Caenorhabditis elegans: one gene and its partners. The protein of the gene in region 2 purifies or fractionates together with the protein of the main gene of each other region. This does not show direct contact. Each region holds a gene or a part of one and is shown on either strand. Other genes may lie near its edges. The genes, in order: ythc-2, mbk-1, dlgr-1 and epc-1.

The links.
Region 1: the proteins of mbk-1 (region 2) and ythc-2 purify together in Caenorhabditis elegans (affinity purification with mass spectrometry, with the first as the bait; one large-scale study listed by BioGRID). This does not show direct contact.
Region 3: the proteins of mbk-1 (region 2) and dlgr-1 purify together in Caenorhabditis elegans (affinity purification with mass spectrometry, with the first as the bait; one large-scale study listed by BioGRID). This does not show direct contact.
Region 4: the proteins of mbk-1 (region 2) and epc-1 purify together in Caenorhabditis elegans (affinity purification with mass spectrometry, with the first as the bait; one large-scale study listed by BioGRID). This does not show direct contact.

The regions. Positions count from the first base shown.
Region 1 is NC_003279.8:8,317,951-8,325,527, forward strand, and holds ythc-2 (putative ATP-dependent RNA helicase spindle-E), read right to left. Parts: upstream 6,038-7,577; 5' UTR 6,034-6,037; coding exon 5,969-6,033; intron 5,875-5,968; coding exon 5,407-5,874; intron 5,357-5,406; coding exon 5,084-5,356; intron 5,028-5,083; coding exon 4,518-5,027; intron 4,465-4,517; coding exon 4,089-4,464; intron 4,006-4,088; coding exon 3,709-4,005; intron 3,665-3,708; coding exon 3,539-3,664; intron 3,314-3,538; coding exon 2,677-3,313; intron 2,631-2,676; coding exon 2,234-2,630; intron 2,024-2,233; coding exon 1,788-2,023; intron 1,741-1,787; coding exon 1,631-1,740; intron 1,585-1,630; coding exon 1,480-1,584; intron 1,434-1,479; coding exon 822-1,433; intron 690-821; coding exon 624-689; 3' UTR 397-623; downstream 1-396. Other genes in the region: F52B5.2 (Protein kinase domain-containing protein), read right to left, coding at 169-300; Transcription factor cep-1, read left to right, coding at 6,351-6,390, 6,442-6,521, 6,574-6,647, 6,699-6,861, 6,987-7,079, 7,124-7,284, 7,510-7,577.
Region 2 is NC_003284.9:14,819,373-14,826,099, forward strand, and holds mbk-1 (Dual specificity tyrosine-phosphorylation-regulated kinase mbk-1), read right to left. Parts: upstream 5,169-6,727; 5' UTR 5,163-5,168; coding exon 4,818-5,162; intron 3,651-4,817; coding exon 3,552-3,650; intron 3,501-3,551; coding exon 3,431-3,500; intron 3,362-3,430; coding exon 3,258-3,361; intron 3,211-3,257; coding exon 3,035-3,210; intron 2,981-3,034; coding exon 2,801-2,980; intron 2,754-2,800; coding exon 2,557-2,753; intron 2,496-2,556; coding exon 1,687-2,495; intron 1,607-1,686; coding exon 1,296-1,606; intron 1,102-1,295; coding exon 822-1,101; intron 731-821; coding exon 653-730; 3' UTR 537-652; downstream 1-536. UniProt on the Caenorhabditis elegans protein: Possible role in the function of olfactory neurons.
Region 3 is NC_003281.10:5,437,624-5,442,259, forward strand, and holds the start of dlgr-1 (Protein kinase domain-containing protein), read right to left. Parts: upstream 3,012-4,636; 5' UTR 3,010-3,011; coding exon 2,897-3,009; intron 2,738-2,896; coding exon 2,634-2,737; intron 2,593-2,633; coding exon 2,489-2,592; intron 2,306-2,488; coding exon 2,245-2,305; intron 2,138-2,244; coding exon 2,031-2,137; intron 1,966-2,030; coding exon 1,796-1,965; intron 1,743-1,795; coding exon 1,665-1,742; intron 1,333-1,664; coding exon 1,222-1,332; intron 1-1,221. Other genes in the region: T24G10.2 (DM2 domain-containing protein), read right to left, coding at 3,526-3,681, 4,125-4,636.
Region 4 is NC_003281.10:12,605,455-12,610,332, forward strand, and holds the start of epc-1 (Enhancer of polycomb-like protein), read right to left. Parts: upstream 3,014-4,878; 5' UTR 2,905-3,013; coding exon 2,746-2,904; intron 1,770-2,745; coding exon 1,601-1,769; intron 724-1,600; coding exon 544-723; intron 485-543; coding exon 357-484; intron 1-356. Other genes in the region: Y111B2A.12 (WD_REPEATS_REGION domain-containing protein), read left to right, coding at 3,840-3,884, 3,959-4,029, 4,118-4,412.

The DNA of each region.
Region 1 (7,577 bases), on a different chromosome or scaffold from region 2:
CCCATATAATTATGCGGGAATTTCAAATTTTGTTCATTTTTTCTTTAATAATCGTCTCCCAAAAGACACCAAATTTAGTTTTCGAACACGTGCGAAGGTTACAAATTTTGAAATTGCCGCACTAATTTTTTGTAGTGAAAAAATAAATAAAATTATATATTTATTTACCTCCTTCTTCTCTTCATTGCCCGATTCTGCCAAAAATACCATCGCTTCCCCCGAATCATTTAATTGTCTTCTCAAAGTGCATCCTCCTAAGATTACACCAGGTTCGTACATAGACTTTTTTTCATTGTCCATCTAAATATACAAAAAAATATTAGAAAGAGGTTGTCAATTATTTAAAATAGAAAATCAGAAGTAAACTGGGAAAATTATACAAAGTGAATTATGAATCAACAATGAGAATTCTTTATTACGAATAAAAAAGGGATATAATTTAGAAAACATGGAAATCAACGAATACAAAGAAAAAAGATAAAGAGAAGATTCATAAAGCAGGAATACTCTAGAATGATCAGCTAAATTATCCATTTTGGAGTACAAATTGAAAATGAAACAAAAATGGCAAGTTTATAACGATTTCAGAAAAAAAAACAAACCGGAAAACATTTAACTACCGGTTACTCGTTGCGAGGATTGTGCTCATACAATTTGCGCGATAGGCCACGTCCACGAAATTGATTACCCTAAATTGGAACAATGAAAGATAAACTTGTATATTATTTAGACATAATTTTTTTTTTCAAATTAGGAACCGAAATCTACAGTGTGAACACTTTTCCCTTTAAACCAAAAAAAAAGCCCTGCCTCTTACTCACACTTGTATAGGAAAATCCTCCTCTGCTAACACCTCTTGTGTTGAAATTTCCCCCTTGATATGGGATGTGACCATGAATTCCAGACGACTCCATATATTGATGATTACCATTGTGACCATGTTCTCCATAACTTGTATTCATCGAATGAAAATCAAATTGCGGAGTCCACGATTGGTACTGATTCTGTGGCAGTTGGATGTTATAATGTGGATAACTATAATTATGGCTATAATGATGATTGTTACTACTTGACGATTGATGCGATGTGCTCATATTTTGATTGTAATGACTATTTCGCATTAAATCCGGAGGTGGAAAATTGTGAGACGGAAAGTTGGATGTTGTCTTCGTTTGATGATTTTTTGGTGGTTTAGACTGTTTTCTTGAATTTCCATGTGAGACAGCCTCTTTAGGTTTTCTTGATTCTCGTTCTGTTGACTTTTGATTGGGATCCGAGTGATTTCTACGATTATTATCATTCCTCACAATGCTCGCATACGGATTCTCGGAGTTTGAGTAGAATTTCAGATTTAAATGGGGCATGACCACAGGTGCAAAGTTGTAGCGTTTATTTTCAGATTCCAATACGTAACGAATCAATTCCAACATTTCCTGAAAGATCGAATAATAAATTATGTTAATTTATCGCCAAACTCACTAAATCTGCAAGCGAAGTTTGTTTTCCGAATGTATCAGGATCAGATATTCCTTTCACGAAAAAGTGCATAAATTTGTGACGAAGACGTAGAAAATGGCAAAGATTCTGAAAGTTTTATAGATTTCTAATACTAACATAACATTATAAATACCTTCTTTACAGATCTCACATTGTACCACTCGTCAAGCTTCAAAAGGGAAAGACTTGCACCCCATGGCAATGGTTTATCTTCAACGGAAATATCTTCACCTTCTTCGAAGACTGAAAATAATTATTATAATTAAATATTATTCCAGATATCTACTTACTGATATTATTATCCTCAATCGTTCTCTCGTCAAGCCTTATTGGACCAGTGAACAACAAGGCAGTCATCGATGGAATGACAGTGACAGTTTTCATGGAAAGTGATCTATCGGATGGCATCTGACACATTTCTTGAAAAGCGACATATTCGACACGAGGACTTTTCTCACTTTTCCCCATTTTAACGATTTGCTTCTTTACCATCGACGACGGGTGCAAAAATGCTGGCTTGTCGTTGCTGAAAAATCTTGTCGTTGCAAAAAAATTGTTATTAAATTAATGGTCTACCGTGTAGAGTTACTGAAAACCTTTGATTAATTAAAGGTTGAGTACCGAAAAGTTTCAAATTTGAGAACTCCACTTTTAAAGTGATTGCTAAATTTTTTAATAATCGTCAAAGAAATCGTTTTTTTTTACAAAAGTCTGAAAAACCTTCAAAAACACTCACAAAGTCTGCACTTTTTTCAAGTTTGATTCGGACGCAGAAACACCAATAAATGGATAGCATCCAGCCGCAATAACTGCCTGTATCATTGGCCAACATTGAGAAAACTGATTGAAATGGTGATCAGTTAAAACAGTTAACACGTCCCTATTAGGAGATATATTAATTAATTTGGCTCGTACGAGTTCTCGAAGCAATTGCCGTCGCGTTCCTTGAACCATCCTCATAGTGGAAAAGTTGAGAAAATGATCACGACAAAACTGATTCTGTTGACTGTTGTTTTTAGAGCAGAATTCATTGCATAGTCGAATGTACAGCAAATGATCCGATAAATCCTGTTGTGCCATTTCGAATTTCATTTTGGATTGCAGATCACGATCTTCGGACAGTGCTAGGACATCTGAAAAAAAGAAGAATTCACAAAAGTTTATTTTCCGTTAACTTACAAGGTTCTCTGGACGCAAGTAGTGCTACCAAATTGACAATTGGAGTGAGACATTTGAGTGCTAAACCAAACAAAAGCATCCGTGATAACTGTGGATCAAGTGGAAGTCTTGCCATTAATCTTCCTAAATCTGTCAGTTCTGGATCTTCGGGATTTTCGCTGTTCTCGGCTTCCTCATCATTTTTCAAGCCTTCTTCATTCCCAGAATTGTCGTAAATTTTGATTGGAGTATAAAATGCTCCAATTTGTTCCAGAAAAGTGATCGCCTGCAGAATAGACTCTTTCTCTGGAGGTTCTGGCGCCAATGACAAGAACTCGGAAATCTTTAATGTTTTCGGAGCGAACAATTTCGCATGTAATGTGACGTCGTAAATCGCCGCTCTTTTCATTTCAGCAATTTGTGTTTCGGGCATAGAATTGTATTCTTGCTCTGTATAAAGACGAATACAATATCCATTGGCCACACGGCCAGCTCTGCCAGATCTCTGATCTGCGTTGCTCCGAGCAATTGGTTTCACTGTAAGTGTGCTGAGCTTCGCTTCATGATCAAATGATTTTTCTTTAACTTTTCCAGTGTCCACAACGAAAATTACGTCTTCGATGGTGATTGAGGCTTCAGCAATGTTCGTGGCGAGAATCTGGAATGGGGAAGATATTTAGAAAGTGGGAAATAATTTAGTTTATGTTCATTAGAAGTCTGGGTGCTGCGTCTGAGATCGGCAGTCGAACAAGTATGCTTCTTTCAGTATGACAAGCCAACGTTTTCATTCAAAAATTAATAATAAAGATTTTAGTAGAACATTATTTTTGATTCAAAGTTGGCATGTCAAACTGAAATAAAAACTCCCTGTTAGGAGTCTTACAATTTTCCTTGTGTCCTTTGGAACAGACTTGAAAATGTCGCCATGATTTATACTGGTCATTTGAGAGTGTAATGGCAAGACGATCACATTCTTCATATTTTTTAGACTGTTCTTCCAACAATCGATCTAAAAATATAATTTTTTGAATAAGAAGCTCAATATAAACCAACCGCTTTCAACATCTGCTGAATATCCTCGTATCCTGGGAGAAAAACTAGAATCGTTCCAAAAACTGGGCTGTCAGCAAGGTATTGAATGACTTGATCAAGTAACACATAGTCGACTGAATTGTTAGAAGAGGAACCATAGAACAAATTATATTTCTCTCCGAAACGAAGTTTCGAAAAATCCGTTTTATCGACGACGTCATTCATTTGAGGATGATAATAAACTGTTCGATCCGGAAGTGCTGTTTTTAATTCTTCTTTGAACTTTTTCTCAAGAAGAGTAGAAATACGTTGTTTTTCCTGAAAAAAAAGTATTGGATATAAGATCAAAATTTCTTTAAATGTTTGAAATCAAAATAGTTTCATATTTTTGCATTCCTCACCCCAAAACCTCCAAATGGCGTAAATTTCGCCAAACCACTAGAAATGCCGAGAGTAGGAGTTGGAGATGGTGGTGACTTGGTGGTTGAAGCTGGATTCTCACATGTAAATGTGAGTGGACCACGTGGCATCAAACATCTTTCTCTCTTCTGTTGGAGTAACGCTTGTGCTGATTGATTGGGATTCGTCGTATATTTCACATCATTGATGAATACCGAGTTAGGTGTGGTTGGACGAAATTCAACAGTAATCACAGGACGAATATCTGGATTCCCTATTATATTCATGTACTGACGCATTGCTCTCTCGTCAATGATATCACCATCTGGTGTACTGCAGGGCCCAGAAGTCCACTCGCGTTCTTCAATCGGCGAATTTCTAAAATTTGGAAATTTGAGAAGAGTCAGTCGCTACATGAATAAGAAACCTACCTTTTTGTATTCGCAGCCATCTTTGTTACTGGTTTAGACAAAGTGGAAAGTGAACTATCAGCAGCTCTCTGCTTGGCTTTATCCTTCTCTTCCCTTTCAACAGCTTCAATTTCATCTTTCCAATCCTCTTCTTCATATTCGGCAGTAGAGAAGAAGGCTTTCGATTCAGGTGGTTGATAGCCAGTCATTGCAAGAATTTGATCCAAATAGAAAACTTTCACATCAAATGCTCGAGATTCAATACGAATCACATCCATTGAATGATTTTCAAAATAATTCGAGAACAATTGCATATTTCCTTCGATCGTTGCTGACATCAGAATGACTTTGAGATCTGGACGCATTTTTAGACATTCACGTAGTGCAATTAGAAGATAATCTGTGTTGATTTCACGTTCGTGGATCTCGTCCATCACAATGTGCGTTATTCCAGAGGCAACTGGGTCAGATGTGAGCATTCTTAGAAGAACACCAGTGGTACAATATGTCAGAACAGTATCGTCGCTTCGTCTGCAAAGAAAAATGAAGTTGAAACAAAGTGATATCGAGAGAAAAGTGTGAATTACCTGCTATCAAGTCTAACTTGATATCCAACAGTGCGTCCAATGGGCTCTCCACGTTCCCTCGCAACTCGTTCAGCAATTGAAATTGCAGCAATACGACGAGGTTGTGTGACCATCACACGAACATGTTTATTATTTTCGTGCGCTTCATCGAGAATGAATTGTGGTACTTGTGTAGTTTTTCCACATCCAGTTCCTCCACTGATGATAACCACATTGCACGAGCTAATAGATTTCAGCACTTGGTCACAATATTTGGAAGCTGGCAGTGAATTTCTGAAATTTTTAATGTTATAGGAGTAACTATTTATACAGTTTTCACAAACCTGACTTTTTGTAACTCTTTTGAGCATTTTGACTTTGGTGGGATCACCATTCTATCACTAATATGCCCCTTCGTGGTGTGCATTTGTTTTGTCTGTGTCTCTGTCAAAAACTCGTCCATTTCTTCTCTGGTGATCGGATGCTTTTCGACAAACTTCGACAGCTTCTGAAGACACTCGAAGGATGGAGTGATTGGCTCAGTTGCAACAAGAGTTGACTTGGATAGTCTGTTCACTCTCTTCGACAGAATCATGTACCGATCTGGCTCTCTTCCATGAGATTTGGTTGTCATTTCATTGAGTAGCGCGACCTCGTGCATCACCTTTCTCTGATCTCTTCCCATAGGTTCAAGTGTCGTGTTCTTTTGTCCACTTTTCAGAAACGAACGAATGATTTCATTCGCCACCCGTCGATACTCTTTGCGAGTGTCATTATCTGTACCTCGTGGCAAGACCCGCGATGCATCAAACCTGAAAATTGTTTACAGTCATTTGATGATTGAAATATAAGATTTTTCAAAAATATTTGTTTTTTTAATATTAATTTTTTTCAAACAGAACTCACCCGTTTCTAGAACAACGTTTGCTATCAACTCCACCCCGAAAGAATCCAGGTGGTTCGTCTGACATTATGCTGCAATTTTATGAGAATATTCAGACGCAACAACAACGTGACAAACGACGAGATAAAAATCTATCAAGGCTGAAACAATGACAAAAAAGAAATCCCGACAAATGAAAATGGCGCCTAAAACAAACTTTTTTAAAGGACGTCGGGTTTCATTCACAGATGGGTCTCGGAACGAAATCATGGAGTACGGTATCACACACTTGAATTTGAAAGTGAACTTCTTTATTTGTTTCTCTTGCAAGTTTAAACTTAAGTTTTTAATTTTTTCTGCTTGTTTCTCAATAAAATAAAAATATTACTTGATTTGTAGCGCAGAATGGAACCCGATGATTCACAACTCAGTGATATTTTGAAAGGTGAAAAGCTAGAAATCTTGAAATATAGATTTCAATTAAATTTGCTTTCAGATGCAAGAATACCCGATTCGCAGGACATCGGCGTAAATTTGACACAAAATCTAAGCTTCGACACTGTCCAGAAAATGATAGTGAGTTTCCGAAAAAAAAAAATCCTAATTTTCAAATAAATAATTTTATCAGGACGGAGTATTCACTCCAATATTCAGTCAAGGGACTGAAGATTCACTGGAAAAAGATATATTAAAGACGCCTGGGTTCGTTTAAAAAAGAAAAATATGATTTATATTTGAAAATTAATTATTCAGAATTTCAACTATCTATAACGGAATACTGGGCAATGGCGAGGAAACCAAGAAAAGAACGCCAAAGATTTCCGATGCTTTCGAACCGGATTTGAATACTTCTGGAGATGTATTCGACAGTGATAAATCAGAAGATGGTTTAATGAATGATGAATCATATCTATCGGTTAGTAAATGAAATAGGAAGTGAAGAATGCAATGAAAAGGCATAAAAAACTAATTGAAGACAGTTGAACTCTTCTACTTTTGCAAATTATCAAAATACAATCATTAAATAATCCAAAGCTTCAGAATACAACGTTGTCGCAAGTTGTGCTCGACTCCCAAAAGTATGAATATCTTCGAGTACGTACAGAGGAAGAACAGCAACTTGTAATTGAGAAGGTGAGTATTATTGAAATTATATCTATAGAGAATCTAATTTCCAGCGTGCCAGAGAACGATTTATTCGAAAATCGATGAAAATCGCGGAAGAAACAGCATTATCCTATGAAAATGACGGATCGAGAGAGCTTTCTGAAACTATGACACAGAAGGTTACACAAATGGATTTTACGGAAACAAATGTGCCTTTTGATGGAAATGATGAGTGAGGAGTTTTGTATTTTTCGGATTTAGTGGAAATTTTCAATTAAAACAAATATATATTTAAAGGTGGACTGTTGCTTTGAAATCAAGACTGCCGCTGAAAGTTTAATATATATTTTTTGAGCAAAACCGAAAAAAATCCAACTTTTATTTTCTGGATTTGTTTTTTGGGTTTGGAGTATTTTTAAGAAAAACTCTCATTCACCCTATTTCACGGTATTTTCAGATCATCGAATTTGGCTGTAAGAGTTCAATCAGATATGAATTTGAATGAAGATTGTGAAAAATGGATGG
Region 2 (6,727 bases):
TTCTATGAAAACGGGCCTCCTAAAAAAAAAAAAGAAACATGGATGGAAAGGGTGTGTTATATGAAATTGGACGAAAAATGAAGAGAATACAGAGAAACGAATGGAACTTGAGAAGAACAAAAACAGGTTTTCCTGTGGAGATGACGGGGGGGGGGGGGATTGGCTAAAGGCGTCGAAGATTTATAATATCTTCCTGGTCGCGTTGCGAAATGGATGGATGGACATTGGTGGCAAACGGGCGGTGGGGGAAATGGCAGAAATTGCAAGAAAATTCTGAACGAAAAACTTCTAGTATGTAGTACTTTTTTGCAGTCGGTGACGAATGCCCCGCTGCTGCTTGGGTTGAGGATAGCTCATTGGCAAATAGAGAAGTTACGAAATATCTGAACAGGTTTTTTTTTCTGTTGACACGTCATTCATGCTTGTTTTAAATGTTTCCAATATTTTTAATTAAAACTTCCAAAAAAAAAACCCTCTTAAATTGATAAATTGAGAACTTATAATTGAAAATACAACAGTAGTAATAAAAAAATGCTAAAGTTGAACCAGTGTTTATTAACTCCATATTGTTCACAGAAACAAAAAAAAATAACAAGCATTACATCAAATTGACAGAATTTCCAAAAAAATTAGCTATTAGACTCTGTGTGCTTCAGAGTTTGTTGTTCGGGTAATCGAGTTTCTCCATCTCTCGGTTGTTAGCATTTACATTTCCATGCGTCATCGATACCTAAAATATTTATTTTCAATAATTGGCATTTTCTGAATGATGGGTGGGGGGTGCAGCAGCGCATTTTTTTTATTGCAAAAAAAAATCTCACCTGTTGTGGATTGAATTGATTTCTAGAAATCTGATTCGATACAGAGTCATCAACTTTTCGCTGCTTCTGCTGAAACGTGTCATCCAGCTCAAACTGATTCCTCCACTCGTTCTGATCCTGTTGTCGTGGCCGCGCCCGTGATTGGAGGTGCTGTTGGGAACTGCTCTGCGCTTGTGGCATGTGCTGGCGTTGTTGTTGCTGTTGCTGCTGTTGCTGCATTTGCTGTTGCTGGAGCTGCTGTTGGAGTTGAGCCTGTTTCTGCTGCTGCTCCAGTTGCGTTCTAGAAATTTCTACATATATAATTTTTCTCTCTTTAGTTTTAAAATTTCTTGTCTATTTCGAACACCACAAAATTTTTGGTAGTCTCCTGATGACGCAATTATTTTCTCTGAGTTTGTGTCATAGGAGCAGCTGTCCAAAAAGTCCAAAATCTCATAAGGTTCACACGAGACCAAACTTTGTACTTGTACTTACCGCTGTGTCTGCTGATACTGCTGCTGCTGTTGCTGTTGTGGTTGAGAGTACTGATAGTTTGGATTGTGGTAATTTTGCTGATGAGCAGAGAAGCGTCTTCTCCCAGCATCAACTTCCATGGCATCTCCTTCGTCAAACGATGATGTGACGGAAATTGGGTTGGCAGAAGATCCAGGCGCCTGGCGATACATCCCGTTATCTTCCACATAGACTGATCCAACCGACGGAGATTCCATCACTTGACTCATTTGGCTTGACGGCTGCTGTATGTACAATTGCTGTTGTTGCTGAAGGTTCGAGTGAGACACCGGCTAAAAAATTAAATATTGAAAGAAAATTTAAAAAATTTAAATTTTAATAAAAATTAAAAATTAAATTAAAAAAAACACACCGGTTGAGATGGAACTCGCTCTTCCTTCTGCTTCAAGAACGGATGCCGAACCACATAATAGGGCGAAATTCTTTGTTTGGGGTCAAATTGCAACATTCTCTTTATTAAGTCTTTGAATTTGCTGTAATCTTCAACAGAATGTCCTGGCTCTCCAAGCCGGCGACCTCCGGGCCCGCCAGAAGTCACACCCAGAATTTCGTGAAGTTTCCTGGCTCCAGGAGCTTTGTAGGTATGGCGGTATCCGTCACGAGTCTTCTTACAATAGTAGATCCCATCCTCAGTTTTGTCAAAATACTTGTGTGTTTTCGGGCCAATGTCTAACATCTCTTTTGGTGGCATACCAAGAACTTCCACAATTTTCATCATTTGGTCAACCTCCGATGACCCGGCAAACAGCGGCTCTCCGGTGTGCATTTCGACGAGAATGCATCCCAGGGACCACATATCAATTTTCGTGTCGTACGCGATGCCGAGCAGCACTTCCGGCGAACGATAGAATCTCGACTGAATGTACTGGTAGATTCGGTGTCCAGTCTGACAAGAAGATCCAAAATCTATCACACGAATTTGAGACCGCTTCGCGTTAACTAGTAGCACATTTTCCGGCTTCAAATCACAATGGATAATCGATAATTCTGGAGATGACAGGAAGAGAAGAGTTTTTCCTAATTGCTGGGCAAATTTGCGTGCCAAATTCAACGAAACGCCACGGAAACTGGTGTTCTTCAAAAGATCATAGAGGTTGTAGGAGAGAAGCTCGAATACCAAGCAAAGATGAGCCCGATGCACAAAGTGCCCTTTGAGCGTAACTGAAAATTTGAAAAGTTGATTCTATCAACATTGAATATGTTAATATGTCATGCAACTTACCAATATTATACTTATTATCCTTGTCATGTGCATTTGTCAATTCTAAAAGATGAATCTCAATCTGAGCTTGATCGAAGAAAGTCTTCTTATTCTTGATAATTTTAATAGCGACTTCTTCTTTATTCAGCGTGTCGTAAGCTTTTGTAACTTGCCCGAAAGATCCTTTGCCAACCGGCGTGTCACTGAGAATCACGTATCTGAAAAATAGGCTGTTAGTCAAATAAGTTTCGTGCTTTCAGCATACCTCTTGTCAAATATCTCTCCATTTTTAAGAATATAGTCGTAATTCTGATCGTCATACCCGTTATTGTACGGACCGCCACGACTACTTTTCTGTCGCTGCTGCTGTTGAAGATCAGTCTCTGTGCGCATAGGAACAACCATTGTTGAGGTGGGCGGAGCATTAGTGTCAAGTAGAGGAGGACTGAAAGTCAAAAAAAAAAGTGAACTCTTCAAATATCACACGAAAACAACATACGCATTTTGATGAGCATCTTGCTGATAATGATTATCAGAACTCGTAATTGGAATCGCATTGTGAATGGAGAATGTGTCAGTCAGGCTCGCCCCGGAACCATCCTTGGATCCCTTTGGCTTTCCGGCATCTTGACTCTTGTGACGATCACGTCGAACCTGTTTCCGTAGGTAGAAAGACTGAAACTTTTATAGCGGTATTAAGACTCTCTTCCATCTTCGCCTACCTCATTGATAGCCTTGTAAGTTTTGATGAGATCACTGGTTAGTTTTCTGACTGGCGCGTCTTGAGGATTTCGGAATTGTTGAATTTGGAGTGGCTTTGAGGTAGCTGGAATGTGTACAATTTATTTTTATTTTTTATTCTTATAATATTTTCACAAAAGCTAGCCAAACTTACATTCAAACGGGATACCAATCATTCCAATTCCAGCCGGAACAGTATCTGTCGAGAACTGGCCAATATTTCTCTGAAACTTTTGAGACATATGTGTCAAGAAGTTGAATCATCTAGGCTGTACCTTCTTTGCGGCTTGTTTTTCCGGAGGCATTCCGGGAGTTAGTGCCGCTTCTGCATTAGTCATGGATACGCGATGCTTCTTTGGCCGGACTTGGGTGACCTGAAACTTGTAAGATTGCAACATTAGAAGGTACTCTAGGATCAGTCTGAAAAAGCGCTTGCAGAATTTGGAGCGGGGGCAAAAACTATCAAAGGACAAAGTGATCATTTCGGAGACTGAAAAAGTTGTTGAGGTTGGGCATGGCCACGAATGTGCAGAGCGGTAGTATAACAACAGGAGAGACAAAACGTCCGCACCGCAATGCAAACGCAAATGCTGATTTCTTGTTGAGTGTGTAGAAAAGAAAAGAGATAGGGGGAGAGGAAATGATGGGAGAGAAGAGGGAAAAGAACGGAATAGTGTAAAGCTCGACTTTCGCCCTTCAGTGATTACTGCCCTGTTGCATAAGAACACCCGATGAAGGAAATTATGTGAAAACCTAGAATTGATTGCTGCAACTATGTGAAGCACGTCGGTAACTGATAAGAAATTTGAACAGATTAAACTAGTTTTTTTTTTGTTTTTTGAACTAATAAGCAATTAGTTAAATACTAAAATACTAAAAAAATTAATAGCAGAACACCTAAAATCTTGATAAATTACTACCATTCAAATTGAGAAAAAAAATCAAAAATTTTGGTAATGTTCAATTAGTAGGCTTCAGTTAACAGGTTAATTTTAAATGTAAAAGTAGTTGATTTTGAAACTTTAAAATAAACAATTCTACTACTCATGGGATTTGTTGCCAAACAAATTTAAATCTTAACGTTGATGATACTATTAAAACTGTAAAATAACATTGAAAGCTTGCAAATACAAAAGTTCATATTTTGATACAAAAATGATACGAAAAATCTTCAGAATCCAATTTTTTTTCCATTTTTTTCCAGGAAAACGGCAATTTTCTATTAATCACAAAAAATCAGTCAATCGTTATTTTTTTTCAAAATCAGATTCTTTTGAATCACGGTTTTATCAACGTAACAATGGCAACGGCTCATAAAGCTTTATTTTTCAAAAATAGATTTTAGATTTAGAAATTAAAATGAAATATTTTCCAAATATCATCATATTTTATAATTAGTTTATTTTTGCAAATTTGAAATTTATCTGTTATTTTTCAAAATGAAAATTATTTACAGCAATGTGGGGGTGAGCAGCGTTTAAATATTCCATTTTAGAATGATGTGATTTTTTCAAACACAAAAAAAAAAACGTTCTACAAACCTCTTGCTGTGGATAGAAAGCGTGTGAATTCGTCTTAATTGAAGTGATTGGTGGCTGTGGGAATCTCAGAATGTTGGAATGTGGTTGACGGCTTTGTGCAATGAAACGTTGTGCATTTTGCTGTTGAATGTGTTGCTGCTCTTGCTGTTTTTGCTGCTTCTGAAGTTCGTCAGCTTGCACGTCTTGAAGTTGAAAGTCCTCGTTCATCGGTTCGGTGTCGCAAAGATTATTGTGATTGATAGGCGGAAGATTAGTCATTTGTGAGTGTTGCTGGGTATTTGAGTAACTTGATGATGGTTGTTGGCCCCATGATTGAAGATTGTCAGGCACGTCTGCTGTGTTCATGTTTTCCTGAAATTTTTTGAAAATTTGTTAAAATCTTCAAACTAATTATGACAATTTTCAAGAGAACGAGCAGAATAGAGTAAATCAAAAAAAAAAACATAAAAATTTAATATTCAAAAGAGAATATAACAAGAAAAAGATTAAAATTCACGGAAAATTGCAATATTTGAAATATTTGAAAAAAAAATTAAATTTTACAAGAAAAAAACAAGTAGTTCCACTACAATTATTTATGAAACGATAAAAATTCATTGGAGAGGCAAAGAGAAACACGGAGGAGAGATCACATGTGAATGAGAGGGCTCGAAAGAGTGTGGTGAGCGGAGAGAGTCGAGGACACGCAACGCGACACGCAGCGCTCTCAACAACTGATGAGAGAGTGGGGAACATGGGTTAACGGGGACGAACGGAGTGGGGACGAACGGTGGAACGATACAAAGACACAAAAAGTTCTGCAGCTGGAAATGGTTCGAGCAGGTGCGCCATCTGCCACAAAGAGTTACATTTTACAGAAAAAAAAGTTCCAGGTGGATTATGTATTTAAAAAGGGGTGTATTGAAAAAGTATAACACGTGATATTTGATAATAAGACCACAACTTAAGGATTGTGGTTTGAAAAAAAAACTATTTTATAAAAATGAAAACTTAACATGAGAAATCAAGAAGATTTGCGTTTCGAACCCCGTAAATTGAACTTTTTGTTGAGATTTCAATGCACTTCGAGATAATTGAGGGTTTTGCTGTAATTTTGAAAATTTATTCTGAAACCTTTAACAAATCTTGAATTAACATTTCACATGGTAACACGCATATAGTTTGAGAAGTGGAAATCATTAAAAAAAGTAATGTTCGAATTCTACCTCTGGGAAAGAACTTATTTATATGGGAAAACTTGAATAAAACTTACGCTTTACGCACGTGATGCCAGGCTGTCCCACTACGGTTTGTTCTACAAAAAATGCGGGAATTTTTTGCTCAAAAAAATGTGACGTCAGCACGTTCTTAACCATGCGAAATCAGTTGAGAAGTCTGCGTCTCAACTCCCGAATTTTTTGTAGATCTACGTAGATCGAACCGAAATGAGACACTCTGGCACCACGTGTTTACGGTGTATAAGCATCAGTTTATTGTCGTTTTTTCTGGCCCGATCTCGGGATATTTTTTTCCAAATAATAAAATTACAGGTGGCCAAGCAACATAGTATTTTGAAAACATTTTAAAAAAATCTTTGAGTTTGTCTATAAAATATTCTAACTCTAAAAATTAGCTGCGTTTTAAAATATGTATCCTCAAAAACTAAGTAAACTTATATTAAAGTACAAAATTGTATAAACACGTCTAACACAATACAAAACACTTGCAGAAAATAAAATGTTTTATTTTGAGTCTTCTATGAAACCATTTCAAACATATAAAACATGAGAAATAAACCTTTCCAAACTCAAAAAAAAACTATAAAATATCATAGGAGATTCGATTGAAGTTCCTCAAGAAAAATCTACTGACAGCTGCCGTTGGTGGACTCCTGCCATACTGAAAGTGCATTTGTAAATTTAAAGTTCATA
Region 3 (4,636 bases), on a different chromosome or scaffold from region 2:
AAGAAGAAAGCGATGAATAATTAGAGTGACACATGGTCCATGGGCTCTCGAGAAACAAAATGAAGAAGCAAAGAATAGAAGAAAAACCAACGAGGAAATCGGATATGGTATTGACTGCTGCTGATGTTGAGCTACTGCTGATGTGAGACACGAATTACCAACATAGGAAAAAACTCGATCAAATAGTTGTAAACCTTCTAATTCTCCCAGAGGCGTCGAATTTTCCGCCTTAATCCTCGAAGAAGAGGGCATAAAAACCAGTTTCCTCGCTAAAAAAGTCTTCTGGCTTCCAACAATTATCCCCATTCACACCTATTTGGAAGGACGCAAGCGATTCAAAAAGTATACAACAAAAAAATGGAAAAAGAAGAAATATAAAAAGGAAAGCTACTGCTATGGGTGCCAAGGGGAAGCAGTCAACCGGCGGGTAATATGTATGGCCCTCACACCCGCCTTCATTCTGCTGTTCGCTTCATCTTCTGGTGGTGAACGGATGGGTGTTCGCGCACTCACTGTGCTACACCAAACAATCTGTCATCCGTTGTCGGTTTGTCTGTCGATCGGACGTGCCCCACCACACCCAAATTCCCCCGTTCTCTCTTCCGATACTGCTTATCAAATTACACTTTTGTGATACTGATACCGATACTCAATAGTATACTCTTCTGGGCGTGCGGTAATTGAACGCCGCCAGCTGTCACCAGTGAGAAAACGCCGAAAAAATGTACAACAATTGGACGACAATTCATATAGTATTCTTCAGATAAGAGAAACTCAGAATGAAAGATAACCACGCCCTAAAAATGGACGTCGTCAAGAAGTCCCGCCTCATTTTCAGCTATTGAAAATGTGGTCGAGAAGCTAATTCTTTCCATTTTTTGGTCGTGGTCTACGAAACCACGCCTACTATTAAGTTTTCATTCGAAAATTTCGAGCGGAAAAAAAATTTGGAAAATCCGGAAAATGTGCCGAAAAAAGAAACGCCTTATTAGTGGGCGTGGCCTAAGAATGACACGCCCACTTTTCGCAGTTTTTCAAGAGGAGGAATAGAAAGAAACAAAAATTGGAAAATCTCGCCTACGTTTTCTAGAGATTATAGGAAAACATTAAAATTCCGAAATTGAAGGCCCACCCCTTTATTGGTTAGCTCCGCCGATTTGGAACAACTTAGGCGACAATTTTTTTCAGATTTTCAGATATCTTCAGAATTTCTCCACTGACCATTCAATTTCGGAGCTCGCCGATTGGCTTGACACTGTCGTCGGTGGCAAAGGACTCGAGAAACCGGGTGCAGGATTGCGTTGCTGTGGCTGTGAGAACATTCTTGAACGTCTGTAAATTGTTGTGTAAAAGTGAATAATTATTCTATTAGAAACACTATGAGATGAGAATATTGCACCATGAAAAGGCAACATCAGCACACAAAAGGACCCAATTATCGCTCGGCCAGCAGTTTAATTAACTTAAATTTTGTGTCGGGGTATGAACGACCTTTTTTTAATTTTGATTTCCTTTACAAATTAAAATCACGTTAATATTCATATTTTGAAAATATTAATTAAAGTTTTTTTTTTCATTTTGAAGATTAAAAGTAACTTTTTAATTATTCCGAAAAAATTACTTTTGGGATTTTCCTATGAAGAAAAATTCTAAAAAACTTATACCTTTCAACAAAACTTTCACCCATTGTTGATACAGGTGGATGAGGAGCTATTGGTGTGAGATCCGACTTGTTCGGTGATCTGAAAATGAAAAAAATCGAATTAAAAATGCTTTTCAAAAAAGAAAAACCAACTTTGTATAACCATTCAATGCACATGATATTCTCAAATAGCTCGGTGTTCTTGTAACTTCGGGAAAATCTGTCGATGCTCCGGCGGCTCCAGCGGATAAATCATTTTCCGACATAAAGGCTCGCGGCGATTTCTCGCCAAATCCAAATGGCTCGTTGAGTGGAATAGAGCTCTAAAAAAATGAAAAAAAAAGGAATATAAATGTGTGCTCCAATCGGTGGTGCAGCTGTTGCTCACGTGTGTATCGCGGGATGTTACGAAACGCAGATCGGTCTCCGATTGGGCTCCAGTGGCGGCGCATCCGATTCGGTTGGGTTTTGGTGGGAGAAGATTGGAGCCACCATCTGAAATGTTATGTGATTGCTGTTTTGAAATGCATGGAGGAGACACTACGGAATCGGGGAATGCAAATTCCCTGGACACTGGAAGCTTTTCCTACAGAAAAACTAACCCGAAAATCCATTGCTTGTCGTATTGAGACTGTCTGTCGAAGCACCACGTGACGATGATGACTGTAAAGAGGAGCAACTTGACATTTCGAAAGTAATAATTGAATTTTTTGTATAAATTAAAAGAAGAATTTGGAGTGAAAGATGTAGGTTTTGGTGTCGCGTGGGATAAATAATTTTCAAATTGTTTCAATTTGCTATGGCGATATGTACATAGTTAGGGGGTTTTTGTTGTTGTTTCGATACCCTAAATCTTCCTGTAGCACGGAGCGTCGAAAATCGATTGAGAAGCCGTCGAGCCGGCGACATCCGAGCTTCTTCCACTAAAAATCCAGCGGCCGCTTCTGAAACTTTTACCAAATTTTTCGAACGGGATTCAGTTCAGAATTACCTCGATGTGATGTTTCTGAGCTCCGACGGTTGCTGCTGCTTTTGATATTTCCATCGCTTTTTGAAGCCGGAACCACGACATTTGGTGGGGCATCTGACTGATTTCTGAAATAATTTGGAAGCTAAAATCAATTTTTCGTCGATAAGTCTCAAAAATTCAAATATTTTTCAGTCAAATAGAAAACACACTTTGTATGTTAAAAATGGTTTTTTTCTGACTGAACCTCTCATTTTTAGTACAACTTTAAGCAGTTTCTCACTTACTCTTTCTTCCTCTCCACATCGGATGCTCCGCGGCTTTTGCTCCGGCCGAGTCGACCTAAAAACGTGCCGATCACAGACTTTTTCGGTTTACTCCTAGCTTCTCGCTCCGGCATCGCTAAAAAAAGTGTGTTAGTATGGAAATTTTAAAAGAAAAAAATGAATCAAAAATAGTATAGATTCTCGCAAAGAAACAAGAAGAGAGCCGAAAAGAATTGGAGCAAAAAAGAGAGAGGAATTGGAGAATAAAAAATGTTTTATTACCATGTTTCTCTTCTCAAAACCCACCCAGAAAAACAATATGCGGTGGGCGATGGTGGAATGAAGGAGATATATGTATAATATATATTAAATATAATAGTAAAAAGTATGAGAAAGCAATAATGACAGAGAGCTCAGTGGAGGAAAAGTTCAAGGAAATGTACACATTTGAAGGGGAGAAAATTGAAAGAAGTTTGGGGAAAGGGGAAAATTCATTTTTGCATTTAAAATTTGAATTTGAAATTGGGCCCTGGAATTTCGGCAGTTTATTGCCGAAAAATGCGGAGAAAAAACGTGGAATGGGGGAGATTTTGTGTGTATAGCTGAGTGTAGGAGATAATTATAACAAAAATGAGGAAATTAACGATAAATTAATCGCTATCTTCATCATCTGAAGAGCTGCTACCGGCCTTTTTCTCATCTTCATCATCTTCCACCTCCTCCTTTTTTGGTTTTTTGGGCTCTGGCTCATCATCTGCAACTCCGTTGGCGTCCAGGTCGGCTTCACGCTTTTTTGCTTGTCTTTCCTGAAATTTTTGATTTTTTTAGAATTGAATATTTATAAAACATCTTTTAAAAATTATCAAAATTTGGAAAAATACCAATTTTCTCCTTTTTATGTGTAATTTTAAAATTAAAAAATCTAGAAAACGTTATTTTATCGAATTTTCCGTCATTTTCGGCATTTTTTTCCAATAAGTTTATACAATTTTATCAGGGAGATTCTGCTGTGTTTTTTCTGAATTTATTTTAACGAAAAGGAAATGTCTTCGAATTGTGATACTATCGTCTAAAAACCTCGAATTCTAATTTTTTTATAGTTTTTAAACAAAATTTAATCTTTTTTAGAAGATTATATCACATCTAATTTAGAAAAATCAGCTGCAATCAAAATTTTAAATTGGTTTTCCGTTGTTACTCTGAAGAAATTCAAATTTTCAGGCGATTTTTGCTCAAATATTGTCCTCACCTTCCACTCTTTTCTACGCTTATCCATTTCGGCTTCAGCCTCTTCTCTCATTTCCGGTGCCATATCACTGGTTCCAATGATGTGTCTTGTCAAGAATTTTACCATTCCGAATCCCTTCAGACGATTCTTCTTGAAGATCGACTCAAGTGTGCTATCACAGATAATGTATTGTCCGTTTTTTGGATCCTTCAGATTATTTTCCTTAATATAATCCCAGAGAGCCTTCACCACATCGCAACGCTTCATCCACTGATCTTTGGTGACTTGTTGAAGCTCTGTGCTGATATAACAGAGCTTTGTCATTGGTCCAAAGACTCCAGACATATCTGCATTTGGATCCTTCACCTTCTTCTTCTTATTATTCGCAAATCTACCTCCTTCCGAGGTATTTCTGATCTGTTTCAGAGCGTCCGAAGCAGCAGCTCTTCTTGTAGATTTGATGCTTGATGCCATATCTGGTGGAATCCTTGTAGTAGTTTTCTTTCCTCTCTTCTTCCCGTCCATAACAGCAT
Region 4 (4,878 bases), on a different chromosome or scaffold from region 2:
GCCGGTAACCAGCCAAAAACTATCAAAATTGGTCACTTATGGGGTTATTCAAGTAGTGTCGGAAAATTAAAAAGTGTAGAAAAATTATGATAGTTTTTGGTTGGTTACCTATTGGCTTTAAATGTACCTTAGTAATCAACGAAATTAAATGAGATAAACTAGCCAAATGTGCAATAAAGGATGATAATTCCAAAAAAAGTCGATTTCGGACAGATGTGACACGGACAAATGACCAAAATTCAAGTTTTTAGCTAAAATCAGTGTAAATTTTCCGAAATTTTGAACCGCCATAAAAAACTTTAAAAGTTTTAGAGAAGTTTCATCACGAAATTCGTTCAAAATAGTCAAATTCTTACCTTCCGACATTCTGTCCTGACTCTCGGAATTAATCCACCGACTCCAACACAACCAGACGTCGTCGCAGCCGATGTTCGCTTCGACAGCCAATATTCGTATATTTCGTACACGATTGATGAGTCCAGTGCTGCAATTAAACGATATTTTTGGGGGGGGGGGGTTTCAATGGAAATTTCGTCAACTTACATTTATGCAAATTAATCACCGAATCTTCGCTCGCGATCTGTGTCTCCGATGAATGGCTCTCCACTGTGTCGAATATCTTTTCCAAAACGCGCGGGTCAATGTGAGTGTGATCTGATAGCCATGCTTCATCTTCTGTGTCGTAGTCATACTCGGGTTCGTCTCGTTCGAGTGCTTGCCAGGCTGAAAATAAATCACATTTTCATAGAAAATTCCGGTTTTTCTCCTTTTTTCGCAAAAACTGTTCAGAAAAAAGGGAGGTAACTAAACAAATATATCGTCATCAAATTCTGATCCTTTTCAAATGATAACTGATAAGAAACGCAGAAAAATGTACTTTCTCACTTCAAAACAGAGAAGTGTAGTTAAAAAAAGAAAAAATTTGATCAGGGAACAATATTTCGCAATTTGTTTTCTTATTTTTCTGGGAGTATGGGGGTGAAAGTTCATTTTTGATGCATTAAAGATACCGAAATCTGGGAAATATTTTTGATTGACTCAAAATTTTCCTCTGATTCCGAATTTCAACGTGAAAAAAGTCGAAAAAATATACCTGATTTTATATTTAAGCTTGAAATCACGAATTTCCGCGCCCAAAAAAATCGCATTGGAGCGCGCTTGCATCGTTTGATTTGTTTCGTTTTTCAAAATTTATTTTCGCCGAATTCAATTTTTTAAACCAGTTTCATTCATTTTGGCAGAAAAAAACTCGACAAAAATGAATGAAACAAGCGAAAATAAATTTTAAAAAAGACGAAGAAAATCAAACGATGCAAGCGCGCTCCAAAAAGAACACACAAACACAAAGCTTGAATATAAAATCAGGGAATTTTTTTTTGAATTTGTCACATCGAAATTCGGAATCAGGCGAAAATTTGGAACCAATCAACAAACATTTTTGAAGGTTTTAGCCAGGAAGTCTGAAAAATCAAGTTATTTTCTTTCGAATTCAGAGAGGAATTTGAAAAAATAATAAATACAAGAAAACCCAAGCGGAAATTAATTTCAAAAAACCGGAAATTAAATTATTTTCGCCGAAATTTTGGTTAAAAAAACTCACCATGAACTTTGATATACTTTGAACGGTGCATTTTATTCTTGTTGTGATAAGTGGAGTGATAGCGTTGATCTTCGACTCGGTCGACTTTTGGAGTTGGAATGACATGGTTCAGCTGAATACCCGATGTACTGGCTTGCTGGGCAGCAATCGCTTCTTGCAGGTGTTTTTCCTGGAAATTTAAAATTTAAAATTTAAATAATCATTTAAAATCATTATTTCTGTTTAATTTTTTTTTCAAATTTGCATTATTATTCCTGGTGCTAGACTCCTGGAATTTTATTTAGAATCCAATAAATTTGCAAAAATTTTGAGAAAAAATACCCCACAGGGCATGTCTTGGAAGAAGAACAAACAAATGACGTCACCAGGGGTCAAGAGGGTGGGAAAAACTAGAAGATTGACGGAAAAAGGTGTAATAAGTCGGCATAATTGGGAAATTGTGTCAAAATTTGGACAGAAGAAGGTTGTTAGCACTCAGAGAACACTTTCTGTGATAGAAAAAGTCGTTTTTAACGGAATTTATTACTTTTTAAATGCTTTTTCTCGAGATTTCGCCTTCATCTCAGGCTTAGCAAAATGATTTTTTAAAGCCAAAAATTAAAATAGAATTAAAATATTAAAAAAAAACATTTTGCGGGTAGGACAAAACATTTTAAGTTAGTTAATTGAGCTGACTTTGAGAAAATAAAATCTAAATTGGAAATAAATTCAAAGTATGAAGTTTCCGTCGAAAAATAACGATTTTTTCATAATAAGAGTTATGTATAACTGCTTAAACTGATTTTTTTTATGATTTAAGAGTTGTAATAAAGGCCCACCGGCGGCTAAAAGAGAAAAGAGAAAAATCAAAAATCAAAAATCAAAACTTAAAATTAAATAGAATAGGATGAATTAAGAGAATTGTTAAGTTTAAAAGTGTAAAAAAGAAATAAAAAATGAAAATAACTATAAAAGCGATCCAGAAAGGCAAAGACAAAAATAGTGACGTCATCAGGGATCAAAAATTTGAAAATTCTTCAAAGTAGTCGGAAAACGGAATTAAAACATGATTCGGATAGAAAAAAGCACCAGGAATTCGAAAAAAGACATTAAAACTCGAAAAATTTCAAAATGGAGCAGTAATCCATAATCCACCAAAAACCAACCTGTTCTTCTTCTTTTTCCATGCCAGACGGCATTTGTGTCACCGCCCGGTTTCCAACACTGCATTCTGATAGGTCCGGAAGTTCGTGGCCCCAGTATACAGTCATAGACCGGTTCGAGTCGAGCGCCCGGGCTCGAAACGCCTTCGAAGTAGTGGCCATCTTTCTGTACTCCCACGTTGTAACTACGGTTAAGAAGAGCGGCGAGGACGCCGCACGTGTTGAATCGCCACGGACTTTGCGATGAATTCATCCGCCGATGACGGCGAGCATAAAAATCAAAAATGAAATGAGCTGAGCACTGTGTTTTAAGCAGTACTTTTTGAGTCTTTTTGTGTGTTTGGGGGGGGTTAGCAGTGGAATACAACAGAAGGCCCTACACTCAGGCCAACTATCGACTGGTTGAGCGCGGGGGGGGGGGGGTCTCCTTCTCTTCTCACAGACACTCACACTTTGCTCTCTTTCCCTCGCGCACACTCTCCTCTTACCACACTATCTTCCTCGTCGCCACTCTCTTCGTCTCTCGAAAATGTGTTGTCTCTCGTCGGAAAACACTCACTAGAGAGGCACACAGAGCGGCCACGTCGCACCACACACAATCGCACACACACACAAATAGACGACGCGACGCTGCCGCTCCGCATTACTCAATGCCGTTGAGTGCGGCGCGGTCGCGTTGCGTGAGTCTCGTGCTGATTTACGAGAGGTGTGGTCGAGAATGAACTTTAATTTTTGGAATTTTCAGCGATTTTTAGGGGATTTTCGTTGATTTTTTTAAAGTTTTATTAAAATATTCGTCCAAAAATAGCCTGAGAAGCTCTTTTTGTTCAAAAATTTCTTGTTCATTAGTGGATTTTTGTTACTTTTTCGAAAAGTAACTTGTAAAAATTATTTTCGAATTGTTTTGCAGTTTTTTCTCTTAGAAATTAATTTAAAAACGTTGCAATATGCTTGAAATGAATATCAGTGAAACTTTTTGTCGAAAATTCAGTTTCGCAACTTTGAAAATTAATTTCGTAACATTCCGTTCAGTTTTTTTTTTCTAGAAGTATCTGAAAATAATTTTATTCGTGAAAAAATCACACTTTTCAGGTAAAATGGACGAGGATAATCATCGCATCGAGGAGAGTGAAATTGACGAGGTAATTTTTTTTTTTTGAAAAAAATTCAATTTTTCAACAAAAATTGAAAAAAGAAAAATTAAAAATTTTTACAGATCATCGAAATCGACGATGATGCCGAGATGAAGTACGCTAGTGACGACGAGGATCAGCAAAGTACTTCGAAGTATGGTTTAGATCGAGAAAATAACGATTTTTCATTGAATTTTTACACAAAAATTCGGTTTTTGCCATTAAAATCGCCCATTTTCCAGCGCCGACGTTCCTGCAGAAATCATCGATGATTCTCTAATGTCTCTCCAGGCACACGCTCAAGACTGTTTCACAGTGGCTCTGGCTTCAAATCGTTGGCTCGCGACCGGTGGAGAAGACGATGTGGCTTTCCTTTTCGATCAAAACCAATCCGAATCCGAGCCAGTGCTTAAGGTGGAGCACAAGGATTCTGTCACTCAAGTGATGTTCAATCATAGCGAAACTTTGCTGGCTACCGGCGATTTGAGCGGGAAAATCATGATCTCTGAGATGGCGACGAAGAAAGTTCGCGCGGAGGTTGGTAGAACACCCACCGTTGTATTCCACTACGCTCTGTGGGGAAATTGCTTTAAAACACGCATATGGTACCACAATGACCGAATATCATGATTAAAAAAATTCCAAAATTTTTTCTAGATTTTATATGATTTTTTGAAAAATGGAAGAATCACAGTTTTCACCTAATTATTTTTTAATTTCCGCCAATTGGATTTGTTCGGTGGAGCGCGCTTGCACGTTTTTAAATTTATTTATTTTATTTTTTGTTATTTTTTATCGATTTTTAATGTTTTCGGTGTATTTTTGCTTGAATTTTAAAGAAAAAGTCAAAATAAATGCAAATATTCGATTAAAAAGCACGCTGACAGGCGTAAATCAGAGAAATTAATTAATTCATGTTTGAAATCGTTTAAAAGCGTTACTTTTTCATTTTTACGCCTGTAAGCGTGTTTTTTAATCGAAAATTTGCAATTATTTTGACTTT